Elephas maximus indicus: one gene and its partner. The protein of the gene in region 1 interacts with the protein of each later gene in a pairwise test. Links are inferred from orthologs where the notes say so. Each region holds a gene or a part of one and is shown on either strand. Other genes may lie near its edges.

The links.
Region 2: the proteins of GPSM3 (region 1) and GNAI3 interact in binary tests that used the Homo sapiens proteins (3 or more experiments, as listed by UniProt). The two-hybrid records come from large-scale screens. The link is inferred for Elephas maximus indicus from reciprocal best matches to the Homo sapiens genes GPSM3 and GNAI3.

The regions. Positions count from the first base shown.
Region 1 is NC_064819.1:93,681,299-93,688,587, forward strand, and holds GPSM3 (G-protein-signaling modulator 3), read right to left. Parts: upstream 2,844-7,289; 5' UTR 2,465-2,843; coding exon 2,420-2,464; intron 2,202-2,419; coding exon 2,096-2,201; intron 1,883-2,095; coding exon 1,683-1,882; intron 1,476-1,682; coding exon 1,338-1,475; 3' UTR 513-1,337; downstream 1-512. Other genes in the region: NOTCH4 (neurogenic locus notch homolog protein 4), read right to left, coding at 4,789-5,499, 5,678-5,775, 6,289-6,436, 6,886-7,181. UniProt on the Homo sapiens protein: Interacts with subunit of G(i) alpha proteins and regulates the activation of G(i) alpha proteins.
Region 2 is NC_064821.1:172,029,437-172,037,054, forward strand, and holds the start of GNAI3 (guanine nucleotide-binding protein G(i) subunit alpha-3), read right to left. Parts: upstream 3,049-7,618; 5' UTR 2,912-3,048; coding exon 2,794-2,911; intron 1-2,793. Other genes in the region: GPR61 (G-protein coupled receptor 61), read right to left, coding at 7,444-7,618. UniProt on the Homo sapiens protein: Heterotrimeric guanine nucleotide-binding proteins (G proteins) function as transducers downstream of G protein-coupled receptors (GPCRs) in numerous signaling cascades.

The DNA of each region.
Region 1 (7,289 bases):
GAGGAAGAGGAGGGGAGAAGGGAGGAGGAACAGGGAGGAGCTGGGGGCGGAGAGAGAGAGAAACAGAGGAACTGAGACCGAGTGGAGGAGGGGACAGGGATGAGGAGACGAGGGGAGGAGACTGGGTCATTGGAGGCAATACGGGAAGGCCCCCGGGCTGGACTTCCGTGGTCCGGGAGGGGGCGTGTTGGGGTTGGAGGGGGGCAGCCACCTGGATTCCGCGTCAGGGATCGCGGTGATGTGGACTCTCCGGCCGCTGGAATGCCTGGGTTCACAGACAGCTCAGTTCATATTTCTTGTCCTAATGACTCCCCTTCTAGTTCTATTTAATTAAAACTGGGAGAGGGGGACTGGGGGGGGGATAATTAGGGAGGTCTCCAGCTGCTGCTTAATGAGCCAGTAATTAACCAGCCAGAGAGGGGAGCTGGCCTCTGGCCAGCCTAAGGAGAAAGGCGGCCTCCGGCCTTACCTTCCCACCCTCCAACCCCAGCCCTCCAGACACTAGCCTTCAGTCCAGAGGGGAATTAAATTTATTCACACAACCAAAACATCAGACTGACTCCGAGCAGCGAGCAGAGGCGGCGGCGGGGACGGCGGGTGGGCAGGGCTAGTGGTCTGTTTCCAGCCTCTAGGCCCCTCAGCCCTGGGGCGGGGGAATGCCTTGGTGGGCGTCGGCAGACAGTCTTAATCTCTCTTCTTGCCCACCCACCCTTCCTTTCTTCTAACTGGGAAGGAGGGTGGGCTGTCTCTCCAGTCACAACCTTGGGACGTTTGCCTTTTCTTGCAAGGTGGAGGCCTGAGTTCTCAGACCCTGCCTGGTGGGTTGACTCCTAGGGATGTCTCGACAGCTCCTGCTGGAGATTCCCAACCACCCCCTGAGATCTAGGAGTGGGGTGTCCCCTGGTAGCTGGGATCCCCTCACCGCCTCAAGCTCCCAAGTACTTGGGGAGGGAGTTCAATGATCATCCTACCTTGCCTTTTTACTATTAACAGGGTTTGAGAATTTTCACCCCCTCTATTTCCCACGGGTGCTGGTCTAAAAAACCCAGTGCCATCGAGTCGATTCCGACTCATAGTGACCCTATAGGACAGAGTAGAACTGCCCCATAGTGTTTCCAAGGAGCGCCTGGCGGATTTGAGCTGCCGACCCTTTGGTTAGCAGCCGTAGCACTTAACCACTACGCCACCAGGGTGCTAGTCTAGAAAAAAAAAAAGGATGAATATTGAGATTTCTTTTGGGTCTTCCAGTCTCTGCTGCCCCTGCCAAGCAGGGTTGAGGGCAGGCAGTGGGCCGCCCAGCTTTGAGCCCCAGGAGCGCAGAGGGGCCAGTTCAGGTCTCAGCAAGTATGTGTGGGAGGTCTGGACCTTTGCTCTTCCATTCGTCCCCCACCCTGAACCCTCAGCAGCAACTCCAGGAGCTCCTGTCCTCCTGGGGGTAGGGGAGGCTCTGACCGCTGGGCTTCCATCCGCTGGCACTGGAGGAGTGGAGGGAGAAGGGTGTTGGTGAGGCTCTGAGGGGAGCCAGGGTTAGTGTGGGGATACAGGATACCTATGATGAGGATGGGGAGACTAAAGAGCAGGCAATGGGGCAGTTGTCTGGGTAGAAGGAGAGGTAGGGCCTGAAACAGAACAGGGACTAGGGGGCCAAGAGGTCTGGGTCTTGCCTTCTGGAGGTGTCTCACCTGGTGACTGAGGATGGTGCTGTAGAGCTGTTCTCTGTCCTCAAGAGGCCGGGGTGGGGCTGGGGCTCGGTTTGGGGGGATCTGGGGGACACAGAAGGTGGCCCTCTGCTCCTCCAGACGGCGGGACTGGGCCTCAGCCACTAGGTCCAGAAGGCGCTCTGTCTGCAGGGAGAGCAGGGAGGCCGAGCGGGGCCCTAGGGCTGGGGAGAGGAGGGGGAGGGCTCAGAGAACCAGAGAACTTGAGAGATGGGTGGGGGGGGGAATAGGGTGAGGTGATTAGGGACTTGGGGTTAGAGCTGAGGGGGTGTGATGGACAGTCTGGAGGAGGTGGAGGGGAGGGCCCACAATGGTCTTGGTAATGGGATCACGAAAGATGGAACCAGGGTTGGGAGCTCCCTGGGCGGTAGAGGTACCTGTGTGGCGGTTCCCTGGAGGAGGGGACGGAGGAGCAGATCGCCAAGGCCGAGTGGTGGTGTTTAGAGGGGGCCAGCCCTGTTCATCCTGGGAAGGGCCCTGATGCTGGGAGATGTCCGTTCCAGTCAAGCAGGGGTGGGTAGAGAAGGTGGAGTGGGCAGGGGGCTAGGCCAGCGGCCTGCTTCCTCTCTGTGTCTCCCTTCCTGCCTCAGTGTGCCCAAGCCCTTTTAAGTCTCCTGAGTTCTCCGTTGCTGGGTCTCTGCCTGGGTCCTCTCCCCTCCCTCTCGTCAAGTGTCAGTCTTCCCCCTTAGTGCCCGGCTCACCTGCTCACCATCCTCTTCTCCGTCCTGGGCTCTTTCGGTCTCCATCCCCTGGAGGGGAGAAACTGGTGGGGGAGGGGTGGCTGGGATTTGGGAAGAGTGCCAGAACCCTGGGTTCCAGAGGGGAGTGGGGGCTGGAAGGGGTGGGGGCCAGCTGGGGGCTAGATGCCTGGGTTCTGAGCAGGAAGCTGGGTTCCTGGTCAGCCCCCCCACGGGCCCCGCCCATCCCTGTCAACTTCCTCCAGTTCTCTTTTCCCACCCAAAGAGTTGCTCGACCTCTCTAGCCCCAGGGGAACACAGAGATCAGGAAAAGCTCCTCCAGCCGCAGGAGTTAGAGGGGGGCTCTCGGTGGGGAAGGACTCCTGCCTTTCTTATCCCCACAGCCTCAGCACCCCCATAGCCCCTGGCTTTGTTCCCTCCACCCCTGCCTCCCCTTCAGCTCTTTCTGTCAACACTGTCAACACAGGAACTAGCTACACAGGAAGTGGTTTCACTCCTCAGAACCCCCCAGCCCCTCCCCCGCCCAGGTCCGTTTCTTCTCCAAGATAGACCCTGACATAGGATTTGGCCCTCCCCACACATCCGCAGACCTATTGGGACTAGAAGGTGCGGTGTCCCAGTGAGAAGCAGAGTACACAGACCCAGGAATGTTCTGCCCTCAAGCTTATACACCTATACCCCCAGCACCGGCTCCAACACATGCTAAATATACAGTAAATATTGTGTATTTACTGAGTATCTAATAAATGTGTTGAACAATTATCCCTGACCTTAAGTTGTTTACAGGGGACAAGACGTGCACCAAATGAGAAAATGGAATGAAGTTCACTCAGGCAAATCATAGTTTAGTGCAGACAAGGGGCAGGGGAACTTTCCTCCGGTCATAAACGAGGGATATAGAAATGGAAAAGGGAGCAGACCACCTCCCTGCTCTCTCCTTGATTAATGCTGGTCAAGGTGGCTGTCACCAAGGCAGCAGCAGGACAGGTAGAGACATTTGAGGCCTCTAAATGGAGCCCTGGTGGCACAGTGGTTAAGAGCTTGGCTGCTAACCAAAAGGTTGGCAGTTCGAATCCTCCTTGGGAACCCTATGGAGTGGTTCTACTCTGTACTATAGGGTCGCTATGAGTCGGAATTGACTAGATGGCAATTTTTTTTTTTTTAAATGGCAACCTGCCACATTGGGGGCTTACACTGACTGACTTAGAGCATGAAGATCTGGTTCTACCACTTAATGCTGTGCAATCTTGGGCAAATACACCTCTCTGTGCCTGTTCCTAAAAGAAGAAAATGGGGGTTTTAATAGCCCATAGCTCATAGAGTTGATGTGAGGATTAAATATGATAAAGCACTTGGCACAAAATGAATGCTTGGTAAATGATAGCTATTTTTAACTTTCAAACACTTTACACCTCTGTGTCTTAGGCCCATCACTATTAGAGGTGTAACCACGTTGCTGAAAGGTGGATAAAGTTTCCCTTAAGATGCCCTCTCCATCTCCCTTTATTTAACTTGCGGCCTTAGGCATCTCCTATGTGGTCATCACTAAATGCCTTTGGGTGAAGGACAAAGAGTGGGCGGGTCCTAGTGTGTATGTGGGTTCTCCCTGGGCTACTAGACCCTTTCAGCGACCCTATATGAGTAAATTAGATTGGGATCCCAAACCTATTCTTGCTCTTTAACCATACTCAAAGCCCTCATCCAAATGTTGAACATAGGGCACAAAAATTCCAGTCATTCTCATGTTTTTTCTCCTTTTGCTCCCAACCCCTCCAAAAAAAAAAGTCACACTTCAAATCAGCTTTATTGTGGGGTGACAGACTTGAGGGGTCTCAAATAGAGACAGTGATGGCTTCCCCGTGCTGGAGTTTCTTTTCTGGGGGGGAGATGGGGAAAATGCAAGAGGTCATCAGCTGGAGTTGCCCTTGGGCCCCCCTTTGGCACCTACAGTGCCTGGCACACAGTAGGCGTCAGCCATTTGTAGGCAGTGACAGAAGGCATGATAGAAGCTTCCTCTGGGAACCATATATAGGAAAGAACTTCTTACATTCGTCAGCCTGCAGTTCTTGGTTCCAGTTTAGAGGACTTCTCCCATTCCCTTCTGCCCTCCTGTGGCCCCTCACCCTTATTTTTCTGGGAGAAGGGCTAGGACTGCCTCATCCCAGCACCCTAAATCCTCTTTCCAGAGCTGCGGCTTCTCCACGTGGAAGACGGTACCCATTCTTGTGAGCACACACTCATTTTGGGAGGGAAACTAAACTTATGACCTCACTTCTGGGGCTCCAGAACGTCAAAATTGTAGGGACTTCCAGATTGCCTGTCATTTAAGGGGTACTCATTTTAAGACGTTTCCCCTCCACCCATATAACCTTCTATTTTTGGCCCTCGCCCCCGGAATTAAGGGCTTGGGGACCCCAAGCAGCTTGAGGAGATACCCGTTCCGGGGACGGAGTAAGGCAAGGAGGCGGGATCGTAGTGCTGGGGGCGGGACCGCGGGCTCTCAGAGCGACCCAATCACAGGGCCAGTCAGCCGCCGAGGGCCCACCCCCGCGCCGGGCCGCGACCCCGGATCTTCCCCGTATTATCGCAGGGCTGGGCCGAGGCCCGCGCGCGCCTGCGGAAAATCTACGACCGCGGGGGGCCGGGACTCCTCCTGCTCCTCCTCCCGCTCCTCCTCCCGCTAGGCTCCGGCAGTGTGAATAGGCCCCGCCACAGGGATCGGCCAAATCAACGGACAAAGTCCTGGCTTTCAGACAAGCCCCGCCCCGTCGAGGGCCTGCTCCCGCAGACTGCGTCCGAGTGCGCGGCAGAGCCCCGCCTCCACGCGGGGGCACGCTGCCAGACGCGATCCGCGCGCAGGAGAAGGCGCCCCCTCCGCGGCCCGGCGTGGCTTTGTGACGCGCCTCCGGTGGCCACGCCCCTTCCAGGAGCGTCAGCAGATCCCAGTGGTTCCGTTGGCGGGCGATATCCCCGGGCGCTAGTCCGGCCTGGTCCCGCAGCCCTCGGGCCGCCCCCACCCCCAGCAGAAGCTGGGCTACCTCCACTGCCCCTTCTCGTGCCGCCAGGAACAGCGGCGTCTGCTCCTGCGTGGGAGGAAACAGCCAGGAGGAAGAGGTCAGGAAGGGCCGCGCTCACAGGGCCGGTCCTTCGTGACTCCACCTATTTCGCCGCCGGCCCCGCCCCTTTACGTTTTGTACGGTTCCCGCGCTTTCCACCTCCCACGCCCACTTTTTTATAGAGAACCCGCTGCCCCTGTCTAACCCTGCTGTCCTGGGCGTCTTTATCGGCTCCGGCCTGCAGAAGTGAGCGGGCGGCCCGGGCGTTGTTCACGGCGGCGGCCCAGTGCAGCGCGGTTTTTCCTGGGGGACGACGTGGGAAGTTGTTACCCCGGGGCTGGGGACCGACGCCTAGGTTCCGGTTTCCCACGGATTCTGGCCTTGGGGGTAGGGCTGCTCGGGCCAGCCGGGTCCCTCAAAGGCGGGAAGCGTTGCCCTGGCGACCGCCGACCGGCAGGAAGCGTTGCCCCTGGTGACGTCACTGGCGCGCGGGCGGGACAATGGGGCATTGTTCTGGGGTCGGTGGGACAGGGAGACCACCCCCTCCCACACTTCGGCCCTCTCCCTTCCCACAGACTCTTTCCTCATCCGAGATCCCTGTGGGCTAGAGTAATACATGTGTGTGGTAATGTGATGGTGTTGAAGATGGTGGGGGAGTGGGGGAGACCCTCGAGTTCCACATTGCCACCGCGCTGCAGACTTAGCAGGATGGGAAGGAATGCCCTAGACTCCAGTCTGTCCCTCTGCTGCTCCTTTTTTTACCTCACCTCACGTCAACTTCTCTATAGCACAGCATCATCCTCTCTAGATCCATACCCCATTTGTCTCTGGCCCCCACGTCTGCTCGGGCTGCAATCAGTTCTTCAACGAGGTCTTCCACCGCTAGCCTGGCGGCCAGCATCAGGGATGTAGTCCCGTCTTCTGTGCGTGCATCCACTGCAGTCTGTCTGCTCCGGAGCAGGAGCTGGGAGGCCAGAGAGGGCCAATGACCCCTGCAGTAGCCTGGACGGCTAGCTTAGGTCCCACACATTTTTATCCCGCTCCCAATCCATGTCCAGGAGTTCCCTGGGTGGCACATAAGGTTAAGTACTCGGCTGCTAACCTAAAGGTTGACAGTTTGAGTCCACCCAGAGGCACCTCGGAAGAAAGACCTGGCTATTTACTTCCAAAAAAAAATCAGCCATTGAAAGCCTTATGGAGCACAGTTCTACTCTGACACTCATGGGGTCGCCGTGAGTGGGAATTGGCTTGACGCAACTGGGTAATCCATATTCAGCCATCTGTCTTTGTTTTTCTCTCTCTGAGGTCCCCAAGCTCACATCAACCTCTTTGCCAAACCCTAGGGGATACCTTTTCCTAGCTTTACTTGAAATCTCTCCCCCATTCCCTTCAGGGACTCTAGTGTTTGCTGACCTGGCAGACCTCCCGAGCATCAGCAGCCACAGCAGCGTGAAGGGGGGTGCGACCTGCCCGGTCTGGTTGGTTGGGATTGGCTCCAGCTTCAAGTAGGCGACGGGCAGCGGTTGGCCGGCAGAATCGGGCAGCTAGGTGCAGGGGCGTCTCCCCAGTGCCCACGGCATGAGCCTGGGGACAGGCCCCTCCACCCAGCAGAGGTTCCCATGGCTCAGGGCCTCCCAACCATGCCCCTTGGAAGGTCTTGGACTCCACTCCCCCACAACAAACTGCTGACATCAAGGGTGTCACTCCGTCTGAGGGTGAGAAACATGGGGAATGGGGGGGCAGGTCATCAAAATTGGGAGTAAGGGAGAAAATGGAGGCTCAGAATGGGAGAATCACAGCTGGAGGCTTCAGGAAGT
Region 2 (7,618 bases), on another chromosome or scaffold:
ATGAAGTAAAAATGACTCACATGTACATCAAAGAACGTACTCAACAGCAAAAAAAAAAAAAAATCACATACAGCGATGAGTACATTTTACATAAATAGCAAGGAAGGCAGTTTTAACTTCACATGTGCATCATCATCCGGCTCAAGCAAGAACATCTCTCTGGAACCTGTTTGAATTTGTTGATTTAACTTGCTCAAGGATACAAAAAAAAAAAAAAAACTTACGTAAAAAACAATGAAGTTAATGCCTCCTCTGCCAAAAGACCAGAAGAGCTGGATGATGCCCAGCTATCACTGCTGAACATTTCGATCAAAGATTCTACGGAAAAGAATTTCAAATTCTCATGGAACTCCAGACTTTCTAGAGCCATGGGGGCTAGATGAACCCCTGATACTACTGCCCTGAGATAAACTTTAAAACTTAAAACGAAGGTGAAAATGATTGCACAATCATTTCAAAAATGATTATATCTGAATTACATTTCGAAGGATGTAACCAATGTCGCTAAATTGTACATGCAGAAACGGTTGAACTGGTATATGTTTTACTGTGTATATTTTCAAAAACAACAAAGTTTTTTTAAAAATGAAGTGATAAAAATTAAAAACAAATGCTTTAATACTTTGATTTTTATTTACTGCTTTTCAAGTTTCCTAAATCATCACATGCTTTTGTTTTTAATTAAATGTAATATTTATAAAGTCCCGAATAAAGATTTTTCTAAACATCTGAACGAGTTCTACTTGCCTGAGTTCTGCCTGCTAAGTCTTGCCATTTGGAAGAAAGTCTCATAGTTTACAACTATATTAAAACAGGCTAACGGCCCAAGGGATCTCCGACGGCCAATGTAAATCAAAACACTCACAGAAGCCGAGAATGCACCTTTAACCTCATAACCAACCTATCAATATAGAAAATGCCTTCACTGTTATACTTTGTACCAAACATCTGAAAGGCCCCAGGACCAATGTCCAACATTAGCTGGCTCAGGCTGATTAGCAGCAAATGTTTAAGCAGCACCTACTATGTGCCAGGGACTGTGCTCATCCACAACAACACCTGTTACATACCTACCGCCGTCAGGTCGATTCCAACCCACGACGACCCTTCAAGACAGAGTAGAACTGCTCCGTAGGGCTTCCAAGACTGTAAATCTTCACAGAAGCAGACTGCCACATCGCTGTCCCGCAGAACGGCTGGTGGGTTCAAACCACTGACTTTTCGGCTAGAAGCCAAGCACTTAACCACTGCGGAACCAGGGCTCCTTATCTATTACATAGACCGTGGAAATCTTGAACTAAATCTGAATTTGTGCCTTCTGAAAGTTTAGGCAGTCAAACTGGAAGCTCAAAATCCAATGCAGTTTTCCCCTTATATCCAAAAAAGCTATTACCAGGGCTTCTGCGATCAACAGACAAACAAATATGTTAACAAGAAGAGACTAGCAGGTGCAGCCAGCACGTCCCAAAGTTCAAACTAAAACAAGCCTTGGATTATGGTGGTGCATTCTGTCCTCTGAGTCTGTTTTACACTATGAAAATTTGGCACTTCCCCTAAAGCAGCTACTTTTTCTCAAAAGTCAACTGTTTTAAAAATTAAGCTGTTCTATTGCTTAAGAAACCACTTTATTCTTATTCTTCTCTAATGGGTCCCTAGAAAATATTAATAGTGAAGAAATGTGGCTCGATTTATTGGTAAACTAATGCCAAGGTACTTCATATGATTTACTGAGCCTCTAGAAGCCAGTCTCTCAAAAATTGTAAAACTAAACCTGCTGAGCAAAATGCACCTGATGGTCCGTAAAAGCTATTTTTTAAAAATGTCAGGTAGCATCATAAAAAGTAATGCCTAAAGCCAATATTTTTTATTCGAAGAAACCAAAAAAGATAAAACAGTTCACCATAGATCTGTCGGTCTTTAGAAGAAATATGTCCAATTTCTTAACTTTTCCTAACTCCTTCATTCACACTGCACATCACCCCTAGCCAACTATTGAGCAACTCCCAATAGATAATCTATGTCCACTACCTCAACTGCCACAAATCTCAACCAAGCCATTCTTTAAATTTCCCCAGCTCTCTACATCCCCCCTTTATAAAAACAGGGGAGGGGGCTGTAAAATTTAAGAGAATAAAAATGATAGAAAACGCAGGACAAGTATAAAGACGGCCTCAGCACCCAAGCTCTCTTCGTTCATACCCGATAACCTGTCACCCACCTTTATGTTCCTGGATAATCCAAGTTCCCTCCACTTACCAACAGTTCAAAATGCCCACTCTCTAATGACAGAGTCCTTATGTGATCGCTCTGCCCCAACCTCTCTATTTATATTAATTACTCTAAGTTTCCCAGCTCTATTCTAAGAGTACCACTACGCTTCAAATTCGCAAACCATTATACAAACCCTACACATTACACTGTATCCCGAACTCCTTGCTATCAAAACACTGCAAATCCATACAAAAGTTTCCCTAATATCAGCTGTTTTATGAGTATTTCCTATATTCCTAACAGTCTCTTTACGGTACCGCCCCATTCCGAAGCTCTCTACGCTAAACCCAATTCCAGCCCGGAGTCACACCCTCTACAGCTTAATTCCTACAACCCCAAACCCCACCCCCTCATCACGCCCTCCGGGGCCTCAGACACCAACCTAAATACCCGCCCCAAGCCCGTCAAGCCCTCTAGATCTCTCCGGAGTCCTTTACACCGGCCCGGCCTGACCCCCCCTCAGATTTTCCAAGTGCCCAGGGCCTCCCAACCACCCCGCCAGCCACGCCCACGGCCCCATACCAAGCAGGAGCAGCTTTACTTCCTTGGCCGCCTTCTCCCCGTCCTCCCGCAAGTTGCGGTCGATCATCTTGCTCCGCTCCACCGCCGCCTTGTCTTCGGCGCTCAACGTGCAGCCCATGGCGGCGGCGGGAGAGGGGACCGTATCCGGGCTCACTCACACACCGCGGCGACTGCGGCTCGGGCGACTGAGACGGCGCCTGCTGCTGGGCGGCGTCCCTCTTCAGTCTCAGCTCCCGGAGCGCCCAGAGGAACCGGATATCCGGCGTTTGCGACACTTCCGGTGATGCCCTACGGCCGTCCCTTCTCAAACCGCTCTAGCTCCGGGAGGGGAGGTGCTACCAAAAGCGGAAGTACTGGGGAGGGGGCGGTAGGCTCAGGTTATGGATTTGTGGGCTGGGTGCACACCTCTAGTCCGTCTTTAGTCTCTTTTTCCCTTTTCGTCTGCCTTTTGCTTTTCTATATTATTTAAATAAATGTAGAAAATCCTGGGTCTGGCTTCTGTATTTCATAGGCGCCTTTCTGAGATCCCACAGACGGGTTTGGACGGGGCAGGATGGTGGGAGAGATTCTCAGCTAAGAGCCTACAGCCCGCACGGAAGGCTTTGCTGGGTGCAGGCCAGTGAGCCTTTGATCGCTGGCCTTGGAGATCCTGGCCGCTGCCCAAGTATAGGACAGTCTGCCAGGGTCGTCTCGGCTAGATTTATAGAAAGGGAACAAACTGCAGCCTGGTCCCCAGCCGCGCCTCACATCTGAGATCTAACACTATAGCGAGCCACTTCTGCCCTCTCCTCTGGCCCGCTACCTCCTGCTCTCAAAATGGATTCTGGTCCGCGTGCCATTACGTACGAGGTTCTGTGGATTGGGGAGTTACCCAGCTCCTGTGTTGTCAAAGAACCACTTGCAATCTCTAGCAGAGACCCAGTAACCTGAAAGTTACGCGTGTAGTTCATAAAATTTCCATGCTGCCCTCTCTAACATAAGCCAATTTTAGCTCTTATGGTCGTCTAGCTTAGGGGCTTAGGACTTTTACCAAAATTAGTCAGCTGCAGTCCCACTCCCCAAAACAAACCAGTGCATCTTGTGAATCTTCTAAATTTACTGTGTGCTCGTTTTTCAACTCTAGTGACACCTGAAAATTAGTAAGTCCCTGTGAAAACCCCAGGCTGATACTTCCTTTCCTTGATAACCCCAGGTACTAGTTGAAGGCGGCCTTAACTTCCCTTTACTGCCAAACGCCCCACAAACACTCTCACCATACGTTCTAGGGAGAGGAACTCTTTCGTGGCTCCCAAAAAATCTTTCCCTGTGACTAAAAATTATTTAATTACCCTAATAGAATTTAAACCTTAGAGGCTAAGGTTCCCAATAGAAAGGTCTATATGGTGATGATTTATTAATTACAGCAATATCATGAGAGCCATATTAACCTAACCCAAAAAACGCATCAATGCCAATCTTCAGAGTTTGAAGGTCTCCCACTCATTCTCAAACGACTGTTAGGATAACCATAATCAGTGTTTCTGGGGAAAAAGGGCAAGAGGAAAGGGGAAGAAAAAACAGTATTTATTGAGTACCTATTTGCCAGGTATGGCTAGGTGCTTCCACTGTCATCTCTTTTAATCCTCACAACAACCCTGTGAGGTAGGTAATATCCTCATTTTTACAGATGAGGAAATAGGCTCAGAGAAATTAAGCAGCTTTCCCAAGTTCACACAGTGAGTAAGTAGATCTATCTGACTCCAAATTTGTCCCTTTTCTACCATGACCCTATAGGATCTTGCCTGGAGAGAACTGACAACAGAGGGTCTAAAGTTTTCATCTAAGATTGGGAGTCACCCCAACACCACCAGAATGTGGGTGAAAAAGTAAATGACAGAATGGTTGCCCCAACTTGTTGCCTTTTGTGAATTAGGGCGTTCAGGTTTTATCCAGGAACAGTTTTCAGAGCTAAGATAACATATCAAACTTTATCAAGCCAAACTAGTGACTAGAAAACGCCTGGAACGTGGTCATGGCAGAAATTGTTGGGAACATTCTCAGCATGACAGGAGAGAATTTTTTATTTCCTTCATTATCCACTCAGACAAGGAAAAATAACTGACAATTTTCATCGTCAAACTCTGTAATAAACACCAATGAGATCACAGTGTCAGGAAATTTCAGCCTGAATTAGAGAGATCCTTGCACTTAAAACTTTCTTCTTCGATGTATGTAAACAAAGGTTAGAGGGTAAAACCCAAAAAAAGGGCAAAATAAATTACCAAAATGGCTGCCAGGCAAGGTTTAATTTCCCCCTCTTCCCCTTCACCACACGCACCCCTTTCCTTTTTCAACTGGACTCACACTGCCACCTGCTGGCAATGCTTGTGTTTTGAAGAAGAATTTCTCCCTCATCTAGGAATGAGATTCCTCAGTATGATTTTATCTTAAAATGGAATAGAGAGAGCAGTACAAACATGTTTTTTCAATCACAAAGGACTCTCTTCACTGTATATACTACCTTTGTAAGGTATTTTATCAATATAATAGGCACTAGATTGGAGTAATAAGTGGTAGGAAGACAGAAACCTAGAAATATTTCTAGATGAAGGGAGGGAAAGCTACGTTTGCCCAAGTTCATTTAATTAATCATTTTCTCCACTAGACAGTTTTCTTTTATAACTGTCACCCTTTCCACAATCTACAGGAAACCTCTGTGTAGATATATTTCTGCAATGGACCAAACTCTCAGAAGTTATAACCACAGACATATTCTCCAATCTATCTCTCAAATACTTGCTATGGTACTTTACCAGCTATCAATGCTCTGTAAAAATACAAAGTATCTGATCAAATTAGACTGTGAACTGCTTGAAAGCAGTGACCGCACATCGTTTGTGTGGGTCCCAGAGAATAGTGGGTGTTCAACTAGTATGCACTGAATTGAACTGAAGGAGTCAGTATTGATATCAGTATAACTTTTTTATAGTAAAATTATTTATTGGCTGTTCAAAGGGGAAACTATCCCACTCCCACCAATCCATTTTCCCCTTTGATGCTCAATGAGCCAGGCTTTTGTTCAAATACAGACCATGCCATCCCCTGGTCCTGCCTTATCCTTGTGTGTCACCTGATTAAATTGGGGGAAGCAGGGTGAACAGGTAGTCCCAGATGGGTGTCCTGGCTAGTTTGCAATTACTCCCTCTTCCTTGAAAATTTGATTGGTTCATGCTCTGGCCACTAATACCAAGTAATAGTTCCTCCAATCGCAATCAGTGAACAGTTGAGCCCAACTCCTGTGCCTTCTCTCCAATCCAGGGCTGCAGATAGAAGAGATTTAAGTCACTGAAGCTAATTTTGAGAGTGATGAATGAGTTATAGAGAGGCATTCGGTGGCCCATGGAAAACCCACCCTTTCCATGCCCAACCTTAGTCTCTTGTACCCGATTATCCAGGGGGCTGGAGGTGGGTCGCTGCCATGAGGAGAGAGATCAGGGAGGCCAGTCCTGGAAGGGAAAGATTATCGATATTATTGATCAGGGTGATTAGCTGGCCTCTTTGTACTCAGCCACCTTAGCAATTCAAATGCTAGCTCCCACCCTCAGCCATTCCACTCCCAATCTTTCCAAGATCTTCATCCTAAAAAGGAGAAACATCCATCCTATCTAATTCTCTTGCCTCTGCTGAGATCAAGCCCTAAGCTTGATCTCCCATATACAGAGTGACAGGGAAATAAAGAAGAGGGGCTGCTCCTGAGAGTGGGAGAGAGAGCTGCAGTCAGCTTTCCTGTCTTCTACTCCACGTACCCTGAACTGCTATTCCGCTTGTTTCTGGCCAAACTTGGATAATTGTGGTAGGAAGGAACATACCCAACTCATCCTTTCCCTTTAAGGAAATTTCAGATATAAAACTGGAAAGAGATCTATTAGCTTGAATGGAAACACTTGGCTGTAATTTAGTTCTTTCTAAACCTAGGAAGAAATAGCCCTGGTGGTGCAGTGGTTAAGCACTCAGCTGCTAACCGAAAAGGTTGGCGGTTTGAACCCACCAGCTGCTCCATGGGAGAAAGATGTGGCAGTCTGCTTCCATAAAGATTACAGCCTTGGAAACCCTGTAGGGCAGTTCTACTTTGTCCTACAGGGTTGCTATGCGTAGAAATCGAGTCAACGGCGATGGGTTTGGTTTTTTTTTGGTTTTAAACCTAGCAAGGCAATGAGAAGACACGGGTCATTTTCTTAACTTGCTTGGATGCAATTACCGCCCTGGACAATTATACTGGAAAATAAAATATCCAAAGTAGCCCCAGAATAACTCCAAACGTAGCCTACAGCCCTGTATCCACCAACTTAGAGAGTTTCCCTGCTTCCTGTGGCATGGAAAACTCACTGGTTAAGAGGCTTCATCTCACCTTTGTGACCCTTTTCTCTCAACACCAGCTCGCCATACCCAGGTTCCCTCCCCCAGTAGTCAAGGATCACAGCCAAGTCCAAAGCTGTTGCCACATGTCCATGCTGTCAGCTGTATTCCTGACCCAGGAAATGCCAAGCAAAAGCTGTGTGCAGAGACCCCACCTCCAGCTCCAGCCAGCTGGGAACAGGTGATTCCACAAGGTGGTCCTTGCAATCATAACAGGCCCCCAGGCCCATCTCCCTCTGAGTGTCCAGCAGCCCATCACGATTCCAGCCGGGGTGACGGAGCAGGACGGAGGTAGCTGTCTGACATGATGATGTCGCTGGTAAGTTGCTGCTCCAGGAACTCAGAGGTCTCCTCAGCTATCTGACCTGGAATTCGAAAGTCAACAGCAGGTGGCTCCTGCTTGGGGCTGGGTAGGGGTCGGGAAACCCAG